Linked DNA regions of Callithrix jacchus. The protein of the gene in region 2 purifies or fractionates together with the protein of the main gene of each other region. This does not show direct contact. Links are inferred from orthologs where the notes say so. Each region holds a gene or a part of one and is shown on either strand. Other genes may lie near its edges.

The links.
Region 1: the proteins of GEMIN2 (region 2) and SNRNP70 purify together in Homo sapiens (affinity purification with mass spectrometry; 5 studies listed by BioGRID and IntAct, counting the BioPlex papers as one, with this or other methods). This does not show direct contact. The link is inferred for Callithrix jacchus from reciprocal best matches to the Homo sapiens genes GEMIN2 and SNRNP70.
Region 3: the proteins of GEMIN2 (region 2) and DDX20 purify together in Homo sapiens (affinity purification with mass spectrometry; 6 studies listed by BioGRID and IntAct, counting the BioPlex papers as one, with this or other methods). This does not show direct contact. The link is inferred for Callithrix jacchus from reciprocal best matches to the Homo sapiens genes GEMIN2 and DDX20.

The regions. Positions count from the first base shown.
Region 1 is NC_133523.1:42,898,171-42,905,338, reverse strand, and holds the start of SNRNP70 (U1 small nuclear ribonucleoprotein 70 kDa), read right to left. Parts: upstream 4,208-7,168; 5' UTR 4,014-4,207; intron 3,232-4,013; 5' UTR 3,222-3,231; coding exon 3,075-3,221; intron 1-3,074. UniProt on the Homo sapiens protein: Component of the spliceosomal U1 snRNP, which is essential for recognition of the pre-mRNA 5' splice-site and the subsequent assembly of the spliceosome. SNRNP70 binds to the loop I region of U1-snRNA.
Region 2 is NC_133509.1:73,781,817-73,788,383, reverse strand, and holds part of GEMIN2 (gem-associated protein 2), read right to left. Parts: intron 4,889-6,567; coding exon 4,799-4,888; intron 4,366-4,798; coding exon 4,306-4,365; intron 209-4,305; coding exon 95-208; intron 1-94. UniProt on the Homo sapiens protein: The SMN complex catalyzes the assembly of small nuclear ribonucleoproteins (snRNPs), the building blocks of the spliceosome, and thereby plays an important role in the splicing of cellular pre-mRNAs.
Region 3 is NC_133508.1:149,716,663-149,723,229, reverse strand, and holds part of DDX20 (putative ATP-dependent RNA helicase DDX20), read right to left. Parts: intron 4,791-6,567; coding exon 4,622-4,790; intron 4,039-4,621; coding exon 3,924-4,038; intron 3,813-3,923; coding exon 3,670-3,812; intron 3,529-3,669; coding exon 3,390-3,528; intron 3,290-3,389; coding exon 3,231-3,289; intron 2,105-3,230; coding exon 2,022-2,104; intron 1,684-2,021; coding exon 1,578-1,683; intron 1,465-1,577; coding exon 1,363-1,464; intron 1-1,362.

The DNA.
Region 1 (7,168 bases), on a different chromosome or scaffold from region 2:
GGAACCCAGGAACTGACTAGAATCGTTCAAGTGATTCTCCTGCCTCAGCCTCCTGAGTACCTGGGATTACAGGTAAACGACACTATGCTGGCTAATTTTTGTACTTTTAGTAGAGAGGAGGTTTCACCATATTGGCCAGGTTGGTCTAGAACTTCTGACTGTAAGTCTTTCTTTAAAAAGTAATTCTAGGCCGGGCGCAGTGGCTCACGCCTATAATCCCAGCACTTTGGGAAGCCAAGGCAGGTCATGAGGTCAAGAGATGGAGAACATCCTGGTCAACAAGGTGAAACACCGTCTCTACTAAAAATACAAAAATTAGTTGGGCATGGTGGTGCACGCCTGTAGTCCCAGTTACTCGGGAGGCTGAGGCAGGAGAATTGCTTGAACCCAGGAGGCGGAGGTTGCGGTGAGCCGAGATCGTGCCATTGCACTCCAGCCTGGGTAACAAGAGCGAAACTCCGTCGCAAAAAAAAAAAAAAGTAATTCTATCCTATTTATCAAAAGCATCAATCTGCAACAGATTGGAAACTGCCCTTCACCAATGACAGTTTGAAAAGCACTGGCACAGGTGACACCTAGCTTAAAAATACAGTGCTGAAGGTCCCTGTCTTCCATATTCAGGAAACACGCTGCTTCTCACAGCTCCAAGCATCACTCACATTGAACAAAGTGCCAGAAGATGTGATGGGAGCGGAGTTACGGGAGGGCCCTGTTTATGAGAGTCAGTTAAGAGGACCAGGCCTGAAGCAACATGAGCTGACAGGACAGGACTCCGAAGCCCACACTGCACACCCTCTGAGTGCCAGGGCAGCACTTAAAGGTGTCACCAACCATGCATTAAATAGTAACTGGTTGCTGGACGTGGTGGCTCACGCCTGTAATCCCAGCAGTTTGGAAGGTCAAGGCTGGTGGATCACTGGAGGTCAGGGGTTCGAAACCAGCCTGGCCAACATGGCGAACCCCTATCTCTACTAACAATACAAAATTGGCCAGGCATGGTGGCACATGCCTGTAATCCCAGCTACTGGAAAGGCTGAGGCAGAACTGCTTGAACTGAAGGCTGCAGTGAGCTGAAATCACACCACTGCACTCCAGCCTGCGCAACAAAAGTGAAACTCAGTCTCATAAATAGTAACTGGCACATCATCATCAGAGGGCATCTACCACCTGCCTGTGCCCATTAAATTAAGTTAATTGGCTAGTAACATTTCTTAAGTGCTGGTTCATCCAGGGTGGCAAATCCCAATGAAGATCCACCTTCCTATTATCTGTGAACTTGTTTTTTTTTTTTGAGATGGAGTCTCACTCTGTCGACCAGGCTGGACTGCAATAGTGTGATCTCGGCTCACTGCAACCTTCACCTTCCAAGTTCAAGCGATTCTCTTGCCTCAGCCTCCCAAGTAGCTGGGACTGCGGACACGTGCCACCACGCCCAGGTAGTTTTGGTATTTTTAGTAGAAACAGAGTTTCACTACATTGGCCAGGCTGGTCTCCAACTCCTGACTTCGTGATCTGCCTGCCTCAGCCTCCCAAAGTGCTGAGATTACAAGTGTGAGCCACCACGCCCGTCCTATCTAAGAAGTTCTGCTCTGCAACTCCCTCCACCTCCAGCTGCCCATTCCTACCCAATGCGAGAATGTTCTTGTAACTTCTGGCTGTGTGCCAGCTTTCCTCAGGTGTCCTCAGATACGCCTACAAGATGACCATTGTCATCCCAATTTCACAAATAAAAACAGAGAGGTCCAGGAGCCTAAGTCATTCATTCCTGAAGTCATTTACCCTGAAGGTGCAGAACTAAGATCCTGGTCTGGGGTTTTAAGCCCTCCAACGCTCGGTGCTAGCCCTTTATGAACACCATCTTATTAACAATAAAAGTAGTAAACAGAGTAGCAAAGGCCGACATAGGCTGCCTGCTTGATGCCAAGCCCCCTGACATACACATTGCCATTTAATTCTCCACCAACAGTATGAGGGGTGCTACCACTATCCCCTTGCTAAAGATAAAGAAACCAATGCATTAAGATACACATTTGCCCAAACTCACAGAGCTATTAAATGGTGCAAGCCAAGTGTGAATCCTCAACCACTACTCAACTGAACTTTCTCACAGAAATTCTACAAAAGGTATACCATCAACCCCACTTTTTTTTTGAAATGGGAGCCTCACTCTGTTGCCCAGGCTGGAGTACAGTGGGACAATCTCGACTCACTGCAATGACTGCCTCCCGGGTTCAAGTGATTCTTCTGCCTCGGCCTCCCAAGTAGTTGGGACTAGCAAGCACCATCACGCCCGGTTAAGTTTTGTATTTTTAGTTGAGATGGGATTTCACCATATTGACCAGGCTAGTCTTGAACTTCTGACCTCAGGTGATCCACCTGCCTCAGCCTTCCAAAGTGCTGGGATTACAGGTGTGAGCCACTGAGCCCAGCCTCACTTTGTCTGTTTGTTCGGAGACAGTACTTTCTATTGCCCAGGTTGGAGTGCAACGGTTCCATCTGGGCTCACTGCAACCTCTGCCCTTCGGGTTCAAGTGATTCTCCTGCCTCAGTCTCCCGAGTAGCTGGGATTACAGGTACCCACCACCATGCCCAGCTAATTTTCCTATTTTTAGTAGAGACAGGATTTCATCATGTTGGCCAGGTTGGTCTTGAACTCCTGACCTCAGGTGATCCACCCGCCTCAGCCTCCCAAAGTACTGGAAATTACAAGCATAAGCTACCGCACCTGGCCACAAGTCCACTTTAAAAAAAAAAAAAAAAAAATTTTTTTTAAGAGATGAGGTCCTGTTCTGTCACCGAGGCCGGAGTATAGTGGCGCAATCACAAAGCAATCCAGCCTCCAACTCCTGGGCTCAAGCAATCCTCCCACCTCAGCCTCCTGAGTAGCTGGAACTACAGGTGCACTCGACCACACCTGGCTCCAACCCCATTTAAAACAGGGAAACTGAGGATCACAAAGATGAAGCCAGTCGCTTAAATCACACAGCTAGCAAATCCAGTCAGAGGCTGGACTCCCAGATCCAATCCTTGCACCCCACAACCCAAACCATTCCTGGCCTGCTCAGTGAACTCACCTCAAACTCTCGAATGTACGGCGCAATGCCACAGTAAGGTTGATTGTGGTGTTTTTCATGTGGCAGTTTCTCCAGGGGTGGCAGGTATGGGATAGGGTCACGGGGGGCAAAAAGGGCCAGAAGGTTGGGCGGCAGGAACTGGGTCATCTTGCCAAGTCTGAGAGCAGAAGCAGGACAGCCTTAGGTTAGATTGGGTCTGCACAGAGAAAGCCCCTATTTGTCCCCTGACTCTCAAAAAAAAAAAAAAAAAGAAAAAGAGAGAAAACAGGAGTAAAGTCTCGGAATTCGAAGAGGCTCTGAAAGGGCAGAGAACCGTCCTACGCTAGAAGAGAAAAGGGCATCTCTTGGTGGGGGTGGAGGTGAAAATCAGGCCCGTAAAGGAAACAAAAAACAAAGGCTGGAAAAGGGTTCCTGAGCAGTGAGGTCTCAGAGTCCTGACCCACGAGCTGTGTGGCGGAGAGCTTCCCTGGGGATTTCTGGGGGAATCAAGGACCCGAGAAAGGAGGCACAGAGCAGTTGTGGCTGGCTGCTCGTCTCGTATCTTGGAGGACAAATTATGAGATGCGGTTTGCAGAGGCCTGGAGGTCTGAAGTCTCCGGGCAAAGAGAAACATAAGCAGCGAAGCCCCAAAGCCAAGCGCCTGTGGGTAACAGACCTGGGCGCCCCCAAGACGAAAGGAATTATGGGTAAAGGTCCAGGACAACATGGAAAGACGAAAAAGAAAAAAGGCCATACACCGCAAGGGCCTGTGGGTAGGGGACCTAGGACGCTACGGGAAGCAGGCGTGGGTGCGCAGAGGGCTCGGGTTTCGGGAAAGGGATGCAGAAGGGACCTGCAGCAGGGGACGCGGCAAAGGGGCCTGGCTGCAGGTAAAAGTACCGGGGCCCACCGCAGGGGCTTGTGGGTAGCGGCCCAGCACCCCGGACCACTCGGCCACACTCACTCGCCGCGCGGCGCCCTCCTGGGTCTGGCGTCGGTCCGGAGGCTCGGGGCGGCTGCGGCGGCCCCTCAGCAACAAGAACTTCCGCTTTGGCTTCCACTCCGACGGCGTCCGCGTCTGCCTGACTCCCTTGCCCGCGCAGCGAGCGCACAAGGCCGCTGCTCAACAACCCGCGCGGCCTCAGCTACCGACTGGAGCAGGGGGTGGGTCTCGACCTGAAATCCCTCCGCCGTCAGCACTGCGCATGCGCCGCGAGAGGCCAAGACCTACCCACACACCAGGCCCAGGAGCCGTCGCTGGCAAAGCGCACGCGCGAGGTCACTACCCCGCCTTCGGGCACCTTGAGTACCTCAGTCTCCTGGAGCTGGCGTCTGCGCTGCGCGCGCGCGCTCAGCCCCAAGCCGCCCCTCCACCTGCCGCTTTCCGCTCCGAACCGCCTATGTCCACGAGACTCTCTCTGACGCTCCGCCCCTTTCCCGATCACACTTCCCTGATTTTTTTCGCGCATGCGTGTTGTGTAGAGTACTGTAACGTACCTCTCCGCCGCCTAGCAAAGAGTCCCTAAGTGAATAGCCTGATTGCGTTGATGTCTAATCTATTCAATCAACTGCTCATCGAGCATCTCGTATGTGCTAGGCACTGTCTGGGCTTTGGGGGCTACAGCACGTGACTAAAGCAAAGTCTTCTCCTGCTTGGGCTTACATTGTACTGAGGGAGACAATAAAAGCGCTTGACTGAATAAAGATAGTTTAAGGGCTGGGCCCGGTGGCTCACTCCTGTAATCCCATCACTTGGGAGGCCGAGGCAGGCGGATCACCCGAGATCAATTGTTCGAGACCAGCATGGCCAACATGGTGAAACCCCGTCTCTACAAAAAAATACAAAAATTGGCCGGGCATGGTGGTGTGAGCCTGTAACCTCAGCTACTCTGGAGGCTGAGGCAGAAGAATCGCTTGAACCCAGGAGCCAGAGGTTGCCCTGAGCAGAGATCACCGCCATTGCACTCCAGCCTGGGTGACAAGAGCGACACTCTATCTTAAAATAATAATAATAATTTGAGATGGTGACCAGCATAATAAAGAAGGACAGAGCAGAGTAAAGGGATGGGAAGTGAGAGTGAGGCCATTTTATAAAGGGTGATAACGGAAGGCTCCTCTGAAGTGTCATTTGAACAAAGGCCAGATAGAAGCAAGATCGGGGGACGGGGAGGGTTAACAGCAGGCGCAAAGGTCCTGAACTGGGACCAGATGGCAGGAATCTCAGGTTGTTGGCCGTGAGATCAGAGAGCTGGCATTTATTTTATTTAAGGCCCTGTTGTTAAGTATTGCATTTTAAGTTTTGTGGATGGATTCAATAGCCTGTTTAATAACTATAGAAATTATTGCAAAATTCAAATGACTAATTTTCAAGAAAAAGGCCAGCAACTCAGGAGGCTGAGGCAGGAGAATCGCTTTAACCTAGGAGGCAGAGATTGCAGTGAGCTGAGATCGTGCCATTTCACTCCAGTCTGGGCAACAAATTGAGACTCACTTTCCAAAAAAAAAAAAAAAAAAAAAATGCCAAGTGCATTGGCTCATGCCTGTAATCCTAACACTTTGAGAGGCTGAGGTGGGTGGATCATGAGGTAAGGAGTTCAAGACCAGGCTGACCAACATGGTGAAACCCTGTCTCTACTAAAAAATACAAAAATTAGCTGGGCATGGTGGCTCCTACCTGTAATCCCAGCTACTTGGGAGGCTGAGGTAGGAGAATTGCTTGAACCAGGACCCAGGAGACGGAGGTTGCAGTGAGTTAAGATCACACCACTGCACTCCAGCCTGGGCTACAGAGTGAGACTCTATCTCAAAACAAATGCTCTTTCTTCTCTTCCACGTTGCCAGTTTGTGATTTTTCCAAACTTTTCTGCTGTGCTGCTTCCTATTTATGTATGTATTTATTTTCCAGAGACAGGGTTTCACTGTGTCACCCAGGCTGGTGTGCAGTGGCTATTCGCTGTGTCACCCAGGCGGTGTACAGTGGCTATTCACTGCCATGATCCCACTCACGTCGATCAGGAGTTTTGACCCGCTCCATTTCCAGCCTTAGGCTAGTTCACCCCTTGCCAGGCAACCTGGTAGTCTCCCGCTCCTGGGAGGTTACCATATGGAAGCCAAACTTAGTACGGACACCCAGTTGCTGGGGGGGACGGCAATGGAAGGAGGGCTCACAGAGTGCCTCTGTAAAATAGCTGCAAACGGTGGGAACAGTAAAAAGCAGCAAACTGCCCGGCCTCTGGGGAGGCAGACGTCCCCAAGCCTTCTTGTTCCACGTGCAGAGTGACCTTGACTCTGTAACAGTACATAACACGCTCAAGGGCTTTAAACCCTTTTGCAGCATTACAAAGTAACCAGACTTGTAGGCCCACCAGCTACGTTGTCTATTGGTAAGCATACGTTTTTAGCGCTTGAGAAACTCACATGAACTGCCACTGTTAACAGTTATGTGTTTCATGCACAGCCTCCCTCCACCGACTCACCCTGCCGCCTGCACTACAGATAATAGCGATCGTGTTCAGTATATACTGGGCCTTCACTGCCTCCAGTAAAGAAGTGATCATCCCCTGGTCCTGCTTTCTCTCCTAATCTATCTTTTTCTAATTCCTTTGTCACCACTGAACTCAGGGTACCCATGGATGGGTGTGGGGCTGGCTCCCTACACCAGTCAGCATAATACAGTACAGCCCAGAACTCCTGTGCTCAAACAATCCTCCCACCTCAGCCTCCAAGTAGCTAGGACTGCAGGCACATGCCACATGCCACAGAGCCTGACCACTTTCCCCCCTTTTTATTTTATTTTATTTTTTGTCTTGAGACAGTCTTGCTTTGTCACCCAGGCTGGAGTGCAGTGGTGTGATCTCGACTCACTGTAACCTACACCTCCTGGGTTCAAGCAATTCTTCTGCCTCAGCCTCCCATGTAGCTGGGACTATAGGCACATGCCACTATTCCCAGCTAATTTTTCTATTTTTAGTACAGACAGGGTTTCAGCATGTTAGTCAGGATGGTCACGAACTCCTGACTTCATGATCCGCCCACATTGGCCTCCCTAAGTGCTGAGATTACAGGCATGAGCCACTGTGCTGGCCCTGTTTTTTTTTTTTTTCTTATTTTTTGAG
Region 2 (6,567 bases):
GACTTGGCCCAGGATGTAGTTTGCTGACCCCTTATATTAAGTGATGCACCAAAATTAAAATGCTTTTTGTTCTGTTTATTGACATAGCCCTTACTTGTACATAATCTATTCCAGGACTTTCATTTGTGGCTGGTCCAACAGCACCGTCAGCACATAACTTCTCACCCAGACAAAATTTCTTCCAGCCTTCTTCATCTTCAGATTTTGGCTGAAAGAAAAAAAAGATAAAAACAAAAACAGATTTATTCCTGTGTATTAATTTTTACACAGAACAGTAAACAAAATAAGTTAGAGTCTCCCATATTCCCATTACTTCAACCCAAAGATAGGGTGCCAGTTACGGGGAGAATCTCTGTCCCCAAAATTTGTAGGGTTTTAAAACCCTAACCTCCAGTACCTCAGTATGTGACCGTATTTGGAGACAGAGCTTTTAAATAAGTGATTAATTTAAATTGAGACCATTAGGGTCAGCCCTAATCCAATCTTACTAGTGTCCTTGTAAGAGGAAATGTGAACTCACAAAGAGAGAACCAGGGACTCTCACACACACAGAAAAGAGGAGAAGGTGGCCATATGCAAGCCATGGAAAAAGCCTTAGAAGATACCAACCTTAGGTTGGGCATGGTGGTTCATGCCTGTAATCCCAATACTTTGGGAAGCTAACGTGGGCAGATCACCTGAGGTCAGGAGTTTGAGACTAGCCTGGCCAACATGGTGAAACCCTACCTTTTTTTGGTACTAAAATTACAAAAAAAAATGAGCTGAGCATGGTGGCGCGCACCTGTAATCCCAGCTACTCGGAGGCTGGGGCAAGAGAATCGCTTTAACCCAGGAGGTGGAGGCTGAAGTCAGCTGAGATCATGTCATTGCACTCCAGCCTCGGCAACAAAAGTGAAACTCTGTCAAAAAAAAAAAAAAAAAAAGAAGAAGAAGAAGAGACCAAACTTGCTGCCACCTTGTTCTTGGACTTTCAACCTTCAAGACTGTGAGAAAATAAATTTCTGTTGTTTAAGCCACCTAGTCTGTTACGGCAGCCCTGGCAAACATATTGCCTAAGTGGCTATACAATATGTGGGACATGTTGTTTTTTCTTATTTTATTATTATATTTTTTGAGTCAGGGTCTTCCTCTGTCACCTAGGTTGGAGTGCAAAGGTATGATTACAGTTCATGGCAGCCTGAATCTCCCAAGCTCAAGCAATTTTGCCACCTCAGCCTCTTGGGTAGCTGAGATTACAGGCACGTACCACCACGCCTGGCTAATTTTTAAATTTTTTTGCAGAGATAGTTGTCTCAACTATGTTGACCAGGCTGGTCTCAAACTCCTGGCCTCAAGCAATTCTTCTGCTTTGGCTTCCCAAAGTGCTGGGATACAAGTGTGAGCCACTGTGCCCAGCTAAGATGTGTTTAGTTTGGACCAGACTAATGGACACTGACAGATAAGGGTGTGTCCAAAAGAGAATGATAAAGACAGAAACAAGTACGGGGGAAAAAATGCACCAAGAATGCTTAATGGAATGAAGGATGTTTATCTCATATACAGAGACATGATTACATATTTGACATGTTTGAAGGGCTGTCCAATCCAAGAAGAAACAGATCTACTCTCTGCTGCCAGACAGAAAAAGCAGGACTAGTTGGGAGAAGCATTCAGCTCAATATAATCTCCTTAACAAAACAACTTTTATTTGTACCTATCACCTTGCACATTACTCTGCATTGGTACATTCCCCCCTCCCCGGGAATAAATAGCTTTCATTAAATCCTCAGCATGGATCACCTGAGGTCAGGAGTTCGAGACCAGCCTGGCCAATATGGTGACACCTCATCTCTACTAAAAATACAAAATTAGCCAGGTACAGTGGTGGGCGCGTCTAATTCCAGCTATTCGGGAGGCTGAGGCTGATTGCTTGAACCTGGGAGGCAGAGGTTACAATGAGCCGAGATCATGCCATTGCACTCCAGTCGGGGCAATAAGAGTGAAACCCCATCTCAAAATAAAATAAAATAAAACAAAACCTCAGGATGATCATGAGACACTAAAAAGTTAAACCCTATTGTCTTGGAACAAAGTATCTATCTTTTCCTATCATTCCATTAGGTCAGAAGTTGTTTCTGTTTCAGTTAGTACTAAATATCCTGATTATTAAATATAATACCTGCTTAATAAATTATTGGATCAATTAATATTTATGTTTTCACACAGTTTCCATCAGAGTGTACTTTATTTATTTTTTAAATAATTTAAATAGAAATGGGGTTTTGCCATGTTGTCTAGGCTGGTCTTAAACTCCTGAGTACAGGTGATGGGCCTGCTTTAGCCTCCCCAAGTGCTGGGATTACAGGCATGAGCCATCGTGCCTGGCCCAGAGTGTACTTTAAAATATTTTCATTTTATTATGTGTATGATGTTTACATTTGCCATGATAAACATCTATAATTGCTACATAATATTCCACTGTTCTGATGGGCCATAGTTTATTGAATCAATTATGTTAGGTAATTTCCATTTTTGACAAAATTTTATCAAGTCATATTACTGACGTGGCTTTTTTTTTTTTTTTGAGTCAGAGTCTTGCTCTGTCACCAGGCTGGAGTGCATGATCTCAGCTCACTGCAACCTCTGCCTCCCGGGTTCAAGTGATTCTGTTGCCTCAGCCTCCCGAGTAGCTGGGACTACAGGTGTGCGCCATCATGCCTGGCTAATTTTTGAACTTTTAGTAGAGACAAGATTTCACTATATTGGCCAGGATGGTCTCAATCTCTTGACCTCCGGATCCTCCTGCCTCAGCCTCTCAAAGTGCTGGGATTACAGGTGTGAGCCACCTTGCCTGGCCGTGGCTTCTTTTTTAATTAGTGGGCATGCACCCAAAAGCCGTTCCACTGAGTAAGAAAAAAATATATTTACCTACCTGTCCCAGTCCCTACTACATACATATACCCTTCTGACTAGGAAGGCACCATTACATAGTCAAAGGCACAAAGGCTTTAGAGACAGCCTTGAGTTTGAACCCTAAGCATACTTTTTGTGTGTGTATGTGCACATGCTTCTTTGATAGAAGGACTAGCTATACCTTTTATGAGTTAAATGTCCTTTGGCAAGTGATAAGTTACTTCCCTTAACACTTTTCCTGGAGCAGAGCTTCCAAATGGTATGCAGAAGAATAGAGAGATGCCATATACTGAATCTCTCAGCTTTCGGCTGGTTTCAGGAAGAATATGCAAGCAGTCATTTATTCTAATGCATCACCCCGTAAAAGATATCAAGAAGCACTGTCTACAGGAAGCTTCTAAAATCTGAAATCTATGAACTACCTGAAACTAAAATTTTGTGCATAGGTGCATTTTTTCCCCTCTGAAGATAAAGAGCTTTCATTAGGTCCTCAGAAAAAAATACGAAATCCCCTAAAAGGTTAAAAACTACTGTCCTGAGACAATGTATCATCTTTCCAACTCCTTTTTTCATTTGGTAGTCCTGATATATCTAGTGAAGAGCTTAAAATTATATTTAAAGATAAAATGTAGGACATATGCATGACAGTATACAAGACAGGCTTTACTTATATGTCACTGGAATTGTGATGCAGACTCATCACATTAAGTAGAAGCAGAATCATTTACAAGTTCTGTAAATGTGTGGGTTTACTGCATGGTACTATCACCTCATCAAGAAAATCCATTAAGTCTTTATTAAATCTTTTTATAAATATTAAAAATGTATTAATTTCCTAGAAAGTAAATGCCTAGAAGAATCCTTAAAAACTTGTAGAAGCTTAACAGTCACCTATCCAAAGTCCCCCAAGATATTGTGAATTAAAATTGACATGAAAGGCTGGGTACAGTAGCTGATGCTTGTAATCTAGCACTCTGGGAGGCTAAGGCAGGAGGATCTCTTGAGCCCAGGAGTAAGAGACCAGCCTGGATAATAAAGGGAGACCCCGCCTCTACAAAATATTTTAAAAATTAGATGGGCATGGTGGTATGTGCCTTTAGTTTACGCTACTTGGGAGGCTGAGGTGGGAGGATCACTTGAGCCCAGGAGGTTGAGGCTGCAGCAAGCTGTGATTGTGCAACTGCACTTCACCCTGGGAGATACAGCAAGACCCTGTCTCAAAAAAAAAAAAAACTGTCATGAAAATCTATACTTTTCAGGCTACTAATGTAATGGAATTGCTACTATTAATGGTATATTGAAAAGAATGAAAATAACACTGAATAGGAAGTGAATCTTTAAAGACTGCAAGTAAATGTAGTTTCTTTCAATCAAGTATATATTGTACAACTTAAAACTGAGAAACTTACATACCATGGTCACATTACTATCCAACTGTTGTGATTTCCAGTGACTTCTATGTTTGTTCACATTCTAAAGGAAGAAAAGTTATACGTTAGTACTCTTCAAAAAATGGGTAACTGAAAAGAAATCAGTTTCTGCACAAAATTTTAACCATCTAAAACTTGGAAAATGGGAAGGGTGGGAGGGGGTGAAGTATAAAAGTCTACTTATTGGGTAAAGAGTACACTGCTTGGGTGATGAGTGCACCAAAAGCTCAGAAATCACTACAAAAGAACTCAACCATGTAACCAAAACTCACCTGTTCCCCAAAACTATTGAAATAAACAAAATAAATAAAACTTATACAATGTTTCAAACTGTATTATGTCTAACAATTATAATAACTTGGTAATTCATGAATATTCTGTATACTTTAGGATCATAAATTTTATTTTTCTATCTACAGTCTAGGAATAGAAATAAATCCAACAGGGGCTTAATTAGATTAAATATGACACTTTACCTGTCGAACAGTTGAAAACTGTGCCACTTGTTGCTGTTGCCACTGAAGTGTTGGTGAATAACCTTCAGGGGCGGGTTGGCATCCTGAAAGCTAGAGATCAGGTCACAAATACTAGGATTAATATTAGTGTCAAAACTAGAATCTCATGCTTTTGCAAAGCAAAAGTAAAACCAAGATAAAGTGTATAATAAAGGTTAGACAAGAAAAATAAAATACAGCCGGGTGCAGTGGCTGATGCCTGTATTCCATCACTTTGGGAGGCTGAGGCAAGTGGATCGCCTGAGGTCAGGAGTTTGAGACTAGTCTGGCCAACATAGTGAAACCCCGTCTCTACAAAAAGTTAGCTGGTATAGTGGCGGGTGCCTATAATCCCAGCTACTAGGGAGGCTGAGGCAGGAGAATTGTTTGAACCCAGCAGGTGGAGGCTGCAGTGAACTGAGATCATGCCACTTCACGCAGCCTGGGCAACAAGAGCAAAATTCCGTTGCAAAAAAAAAAAAAAAAGAAAGAAAGAAAATATTTCTTACAGATGTAAAAAAGTAGACATTTCACTTTTCTATTTATTTATATCCCAGTTAAAAACATTAGGGAAAGAGCCTTAGTCAATTTAATAAGAGAAATCTGGAAAGGCTTATACTTGGAGTTTCTTTTTTTTTGAGACAGAGTTTCACTCTTGTTACCCAGGCTGGAGTGCAATGGCACGATCTCGGCTCACCGCACCCTCCACCTCCTGGGTTCAGGCAATTCTCCTGCCTCAGCCTCCTGAGTAGCTGGGATTACAGGCACGCACCACCATGCCCAGCTAATTTTTTATATTTTTAGTAGAGGCGGGGTTTCACCATGTTGACCAGGATGGTCTCAATCTCTTGACCTCGTGATCCACCCGCCTCGGCCTCCCAAAGTGCTGGGATTACATGCTTGAGCCACCGCGCCCGGCCCTATACTTGGAGTTTCTATGAAATCTAAATGACGTTAGCCCAGAGGATATGATCTAGTCCTACCTGCCTTTCTAGAATATCAAACAGAAACAAAAAGAGAGACATACCGTTTCAATCAATCCATCCATCTATCAAATTAGGTATATAAGACATTCTGTTCCATTAAATGTCTATCAACTAATGAGCCGAGACCGTGCCACTGTACTTCAGCCTGGGTGACAGAGCAAGACTCTGTCTCAAAAAAATAAATCAATCAACTAAAAAATCCTGAAGAGGAATTACAGGAAACATTATAGTGTCTGAATTAAAATTTTCTGATTATAAATATCAGATAGAGAAATTACTTTCAACATGAAAAGGAAATTACTATCAACAATTTAAAATGCCACCTCCTTTAAGCTTAGGTTAAATAGCACCTCCTTAGAGAGACCTTCGCTGGCCAGGCGTGGTGGCTCACGCCTGTAATCCCAACACGTTAGGAGGCTGAAGCAGGCAGATCACTTGAGGTCAGGAGTTCAAGACCAGCCTGGCCAACATGGTAAAACCCCATCTCCACTAAAAATACAAAAATTAGCTAGGTGTGGTAGCACACACCTGTAATCCCAGCTACTCAGGAGGCTGAGGCAGGAGACTCTCTTGAACCCGGGAGGTGGAGGTTGCAGTGAGCCAAGATCACACCACTGCATTCCAGCCTGGGCGAAAAAGCAAGACTCAAAAAAAAAGGGGGGGGGGAGGGAAGAAAGACCTTCTGTGATTCCTCTATCTACAGTAGTTCTGTCATTTATTGATTATTACATATGCTTATTTTCTTCATAGCAATAGTCACAACAT
Region 3 (6,567 bases), on a different chromosome or scaffold from region 2:
GATGCTATGATACTGAATCCTACAAGAAGCCTTAACTGCCTTCTAACAATTTTCTATTTTTTCCCCACATCAGACTACCAATAAACTTCACAAAAAGAATTGACAGTTTTAGAACTGATATAGAGCCTAAAGACCATCTACTCTATGATATTTTGCAAATCAGGACGCTAAGCTTAGAGCAATTACAGAGATTTGTAAAAGAACATAAAAGTTATTACTAACCCAGATCTACTAGAATACATATGACTTCCAGATCTATACTTAATCTGGCTTCTTGAAATAAATTAAATATAAAATCAGTAAAATACTCAATTATATTTATTCAATAACTATATATCCCATATTCTACAAGGTCATGTATATGCTATATGTGTATATATCTATATATACATACATCTATATATAAATATACACTATTTATAGTGCACATTTTCTGTATAACATGCACATCAAACATGCCATATTTCCACTCAAGTTTTTTAGAATTTTTTGTTTTTAAGAGATCGTTAATAGTTTTAAACATGCACTGTTTCCAAGATGGCACTTAAGCAGGACAAGTGACTGAACTGAAAAAAAAAAAAAAAATTTCACTCAAAGTTTTCAAAATGGTATTCAAATTAAAGACGCTGTTCCTTCCGCATGGTAACGAAGGAGAATATGGCAAGAATTAACCTCACAGCAACTTAAAAGAGGTAAAATACCCTCCTCATATCAAAGAATAAAATCATATTGCAAAGCCACTAACAAATAAAATAGAGCTAATATAGCTCTCATTTTTTTTCACCCACTCTGCCTTTTTTTTTTTTGAGACAAAGTTTCACTCTTGTTGCCCAGGCTGGAGCGCAATAGCTCAATCTCGGCTCACTGCAACCTCCACCTTCTGGGTTCAAACAGTTCTCCTGCCTCAGCCTACCGAGCAGCTGGGATTACAGGCACCCGCCACCACATCTGGCTAATTTTATTTTTTAGTAGAGACGGGGTTTCACCATGTTGACCAGGCTGGTCTTGAACTCAGGTGATCCACTCGTCTCAGACTCCCAAAGTGCAGGGGTTATAAGCGTGAGCCACTGTGCCCAGCCAGCTCTAATTTTTCATGTGCCAGTGGTTAGCTTGCACTCTTCTCCCTGCCACTTGCTAGCTCTAACACCTTTACTTACCCTCTCTATGCCTAAATATCCTCATCTACAAGAGAATCACACACACTTCACAAGAGTGTGGTGAGAAATGAGTTAATGTACATACAGTACTGGGAACAGTATCCAGCACATCATAAGCACTCTGTGTTTGCTATTATTAATATTTTTATTATGCTTATCATCACTATAATTATTTTGACAGCAAAATGAAACAGATTAAATGTACCTGGTAAAGGTAGAAGGTTGATATTACATTTCTGGGCAATTCTCATCATCATATTTTCTTCCTCTCCCCGGCAACAGTAGGTCACTGTCAGTCCCAATGTACCTAAAGCAGAGAGAATGTTAGGTAGTAAATCATTTTCATAAAAATAACATTCAAAGCCCACCTGTCACATTATAGAGTCCTCCCCTTAAAGAAAGCACTGAAACTTTATTTACCAAAACGGCCAGCTCTGCCAATCCGATGCATATATGTCTCCCAATCCAACGGTACATCCAGATTTACAACCAGATTCACCTTCTCAGCATCAATCCCACGGGAAGTCTTGAATTGAAGAAGACAGTAATTATCTGTTTACACTAACTGTACAGCATGGCTACCAATGCATATTATATTCTTCCAGTATAGCCAAGAGCCAAATTAAACACAGAATATTGAGGAGCAGAGGAAAAGAAAATTCATTTCTGATGTCTAATTTCAAGGACAAAGATCAACCTATTAAAGACATTTTTAAGAAAGCATTTCCCTCAGCACTGGAAAGATAATTATCTTCTGGTATTCTTGTAGATACACTTACATAAAATAATAGATGAAAGCTGTACATCTGATAAAAGAACATATGTCAAGACAGATTAGTCACACAAACTAAACAGGAAATTTACCAAATCTGTGGAAATGAGGACTCTGCAATGAAACTGCTTCAGTTTAGCCATAGCATCAAGACGCTGATTCTGATTCATATTGCCTAAAAGGACCCCAAAAGAAAGTCATATAAAAACAACTAAGCTAATACATATTTATCAAATCCACAAAAAGTAAAAATCATAACGCCCAGTCTTAACACTTTTAACACACCAACCACAGTTAATTCTGTCCTTCTGTGCAAATCTAGGTTACGATCCAAAGTCAGAATCTTTTAAAAGATGGTTTAGGCAATCAACTTGAAATTCAAAATCAATTTTAAATAGTAATCAGGCCATGCATATAAATTCTATTTGCAGTTACATAAGAAGTATAACTAGCAATTCTTAGGAAAATAAAAATGCTTTATATCAGCTGTTTATAATTTGGTGTTAAAGTGTGATCTATAGTTAAAATATTGGTTCATTAGAAAATAGTCTCCCCAGTATCTCATGATAACTAAACAAGCTCAAGCCAACACGTTAAAAACTAAACTAACACAGGCGGGGCACAGTGGCTCACCCCTATAATTCCAGTACTTTGGGAGGATGAGGAGGGTGGATCACAAGGTCAGGAGTTCAAGACCAGCCTGGCCAATATGGTGAAACCCTGTCTCTACTTAAAAAAAAAAAAAAAAAAATTAAAAAAAATAAAAAGTCAAAAACTAAGCTAACACGAAACAAAACTCTAAAAATGATCTCGCTGATCCAAAAATCCTTTGACTCTTTCATTATGCCAGCAGTAATCATGTAACTCTGTGGCAAGAAGTCAATCACTCTGCCTTCCACAAAACCATAAAACAGTCAATTCAGTTAACAATCTCCAGCATCTTAACAGTGATTATTTAAAAAAAATTTTTTTTTCTAAAGAAAAATATTTTTATCTTAACACAGACATACTTGGTTTTATAGAATTAAGTTCTTTGTGGTTATACTCAGAGATATAAAATTACATCTCTCTGAACACTAGTTTTCTAACTTTTTACCATACACCAAATTACTCCTTAAAAATAGAAGGATATTGACATTTCAAATTCCAAAGAAAAATAAGCCTGAAAATTCCTTTACTCTAAAAAATACATGATAATTTTATATTCAGAAGACAACTCATAAAGTGGTATTTCTTCCTTCTGACTTTGGAGGCTTCAAGTCAGTATACTAAATAAAGATTAAAGTAAGAAATGAACTGACCTGAAATGCACTCAGCAGGGAAGCCTTTAGAAGAAAGGATATCAGCCAAATGTTGTGCTCTATGAAATAGAACATAAATAGTTACAAATTTACAAATATTGCCCCATGCCTATCCTTTTATTTCACAAGTTCCCCAGATGGCCTTTTAAGTTACATTACCTGCTATGCAAATTAGAGAAGACTAAAGCTTGATTAAATGGAATTCTGCTGAATAGTTCCTGTAAATACTGAATCTTTTCCTCAAAAACCTTATGTGCCAAAGGGTACGAATTGACAACTTTGTAATACTGCTTCAAACCTACAAAGAAGAGTTGTCAGTTAAAACAAACATACATGCTATAACCTAATAGATATCACGAAACAACAACAGACAACCAGGCAAGGAAAAGCTCCAGAATATCACAAACAAATCATGTAAGTAGCTAAAAGCTGCACATACCTATGAGACTTGGATCACTGGCATTCAGTCTTACAAAAGTGGGATCTCTCATGTACTTTGTCAAAGCATTAGCCAAAAATTCAGGGTAAGTAGCTGATACTGCTAGCATCTGTTTACTGGCAGGCAAGGAAGAATAAATCCAACTGCAAAATAAAAACATGTATCATGTAAATTATTCAGACAATAATCACCGCTCAGGAAAGCTAGATACTTTGGGACGCTGTTTTAATAGTCAAGTTAGCTATTTTTCTTACTTTATTTGCTCCTGGAAGCTTCCTTCTTCTAAAAGCTTATCTGCTTCATCAAGAATAAAGAGGCGTATACTGCCTGGGTTCAAGTAGTCAAGTTCTATGAGTTGCTTAATTCTGCCTAATTAAAAAAAAAAAAAATTGAAATATTTATGATGTACCAAATTTGTGTAAATCTCAGCCAATGTTGTTACTCTACTTATTCACAAGTTGTTCTGCTGAATTTCCTGATTCAACTCTCATTACACATGCTCACGCTAAACCATGAATTAGAAATCTTGAGCTCTGATCTTGCCTAAACTCACTGTTTTCCCCTCACATTTCATCACTAGTAAATAAACACCAATCCTAACAAAAATCCTAAAGCACTGAATGCAAGACTCTGATTCTGAGTGATTCACAACCAAATGCAATAGAGAAGCCAAAGAATAATCCCAGTCCATTGCTTAGAAGGGCCTCCTGAAAGTCAGCGCATTTCTTCTCAGAGGACTATCCCATGTGTTCTGAAACATCCTTAGGAATGGAAATTTCACAAATTCCACTGATAAACCAGTCATGTGCCTATATCTCATCAGTCTAATGCTCTTCGTTTCTAACCAAAATAATTATCACAGTTATCAAAGATTCCCATATATCTTTATTTTTATATTAAAAGTGTTTAGTTCCTTAAAAGCCCTGGTTACCAACAGGCACTGTTATCTTACCAGGAGATCCAACAGCAATATGACACTTTTTAAGTCTGGTTTTGTCTTGTGATAATGGGGTCCCTCCAATAAAGACATGACACTCCAAGCCTTCCATTTTTATTCCAATGGCTGTAATAACAGAATGTATCTGTACAGCAATTTCTCTTGTAGGGGCCAAGATCAAAATCTAAAAAACAAACAAACATAAATTATACCTTTGAGTCAGAGAAATACATGACACACTATATTTCATTTAAATGATCATTTCAATGAGTTTTTATTGATAGGGTAAAATATAGTTATCCCTTGGTATCCACAAGGGATTGGTCCCAGGAAGCCCCCAGATACCAAAACTGCAGATGCTCAAGTCTGTTATATAAGACTGTATATACCTGTATATTACCCATGTATATCCTCCCACATATTTTAAACCATCTCTAGATTACTTATAATACCTAATACAATTTAAATCCTATGTAAATTGTTATACTGTATTTTTGTTTGTATCTTTTTATTCTTTATTTTTTTAATTGTTCCCCCACCCCTCCCCTGAATATTTTTGATCCACAGTTGGCTGAATCAGCTAATACAGAACCTGAATATAGGGAGGGCTGACTGTATTCTATTCATTCATTCATTCAACAAATATTAAGTAAGAACCTACTATGTGCCAGGCAACATAGGGAGGGCTGACTGTATTCCATCCATTCATTCATTCATTTATTCAACAAATACTAAGTTAGAACCTACTGTGTGTTAGGCAACATACTAGTTGCTGGGGAACCAACAATTAACAGTACAGTCTTTGTCTTCATAGTACTTTCATTCTTAAATAATAAGAATACAATAAACAAAAATAAGTAATGACAGGTAATGAAAAGTAACATAAAAAAAATCACACAGGGAAAGAAGGAAGGAGTCATTTTAAATGAGGTAATCATGAGCCCTCCTCTAAGGAGGTAACACTTGAGCAGAGACCTACAAGTATGGCAGAGACCTGCAAGTATGGCATAGAGTAGAGCTGGCTATACAACACCTGGCAAAGCGTTTTCACGAAGAGAAAACAGCAAATGCAAAGGCCATAAGATGGCAGTGTTCTTGGGGTATTTGAGGAAGAAAAAGAAGGCCCACATGGCTATACAGAATTAGTGGGAAAGTAAAGTAAAGATCTAGCTCTAGGGGCTACATCACAAAAGCCTTGAGAGCCATGGTAAAAACTTTGCAATGTAACTACTGGAGAAGGCAAAAGCAATATTTTGTGCTCTTAACTACAGGAATAAAAACTTTATTAAAATAAAATACAAGACTGGGAGAAAACATGCCAAACTGTTAATAGCGGTTTCTCTCTAGGTAGTGAAATGATAGATTTTGTTTTCTGGTACTTCCTAATTTTTCTGAATTTTCCCAATTTTCAAAAATGAATATGTATTACTTTGATACACACAAAATATTAAAACATGAATTTTCCGGGCATAGTGGCTCACATCTGTGATCCCAGCACTTTGGGAGGCTGAGGCGGGTGGATATCCTGAGTCAGGAGTTTGAAACCAGCCTGGCCAACATGAAAAAACTCCATCTCTACTAAAAATACAAAAAAAATTAGCTGGGTGTGTGGTGTGCACACCTGTAATCCCAGCTACTCGGGAGGCTGAGGCAGGAAAATCACTTGAACCTGGGAGGCGGAGATTGCAGTGAGCCAAGACTGTGCCATTGCACTCCAACCTAAGCAACAGAATGAGACTTCATCTCAAAAAAAAAAAAATGAATTTATAAAACTTTTCCAGGATTTTAGCATTTTATCTGCTGCCAAATTGTCAGAAGCCAAAATCTCAAATACAGCCTAGTCTACAATTAGACTAGCTCAGGTTCTTGCAAAGTAGGAGGATTTCCAATGTGCAACATCACCTAGGATTTGGCAGATATAAGACAGACTCAACAAGCTTCTCGGGGAATTAACATGGGTA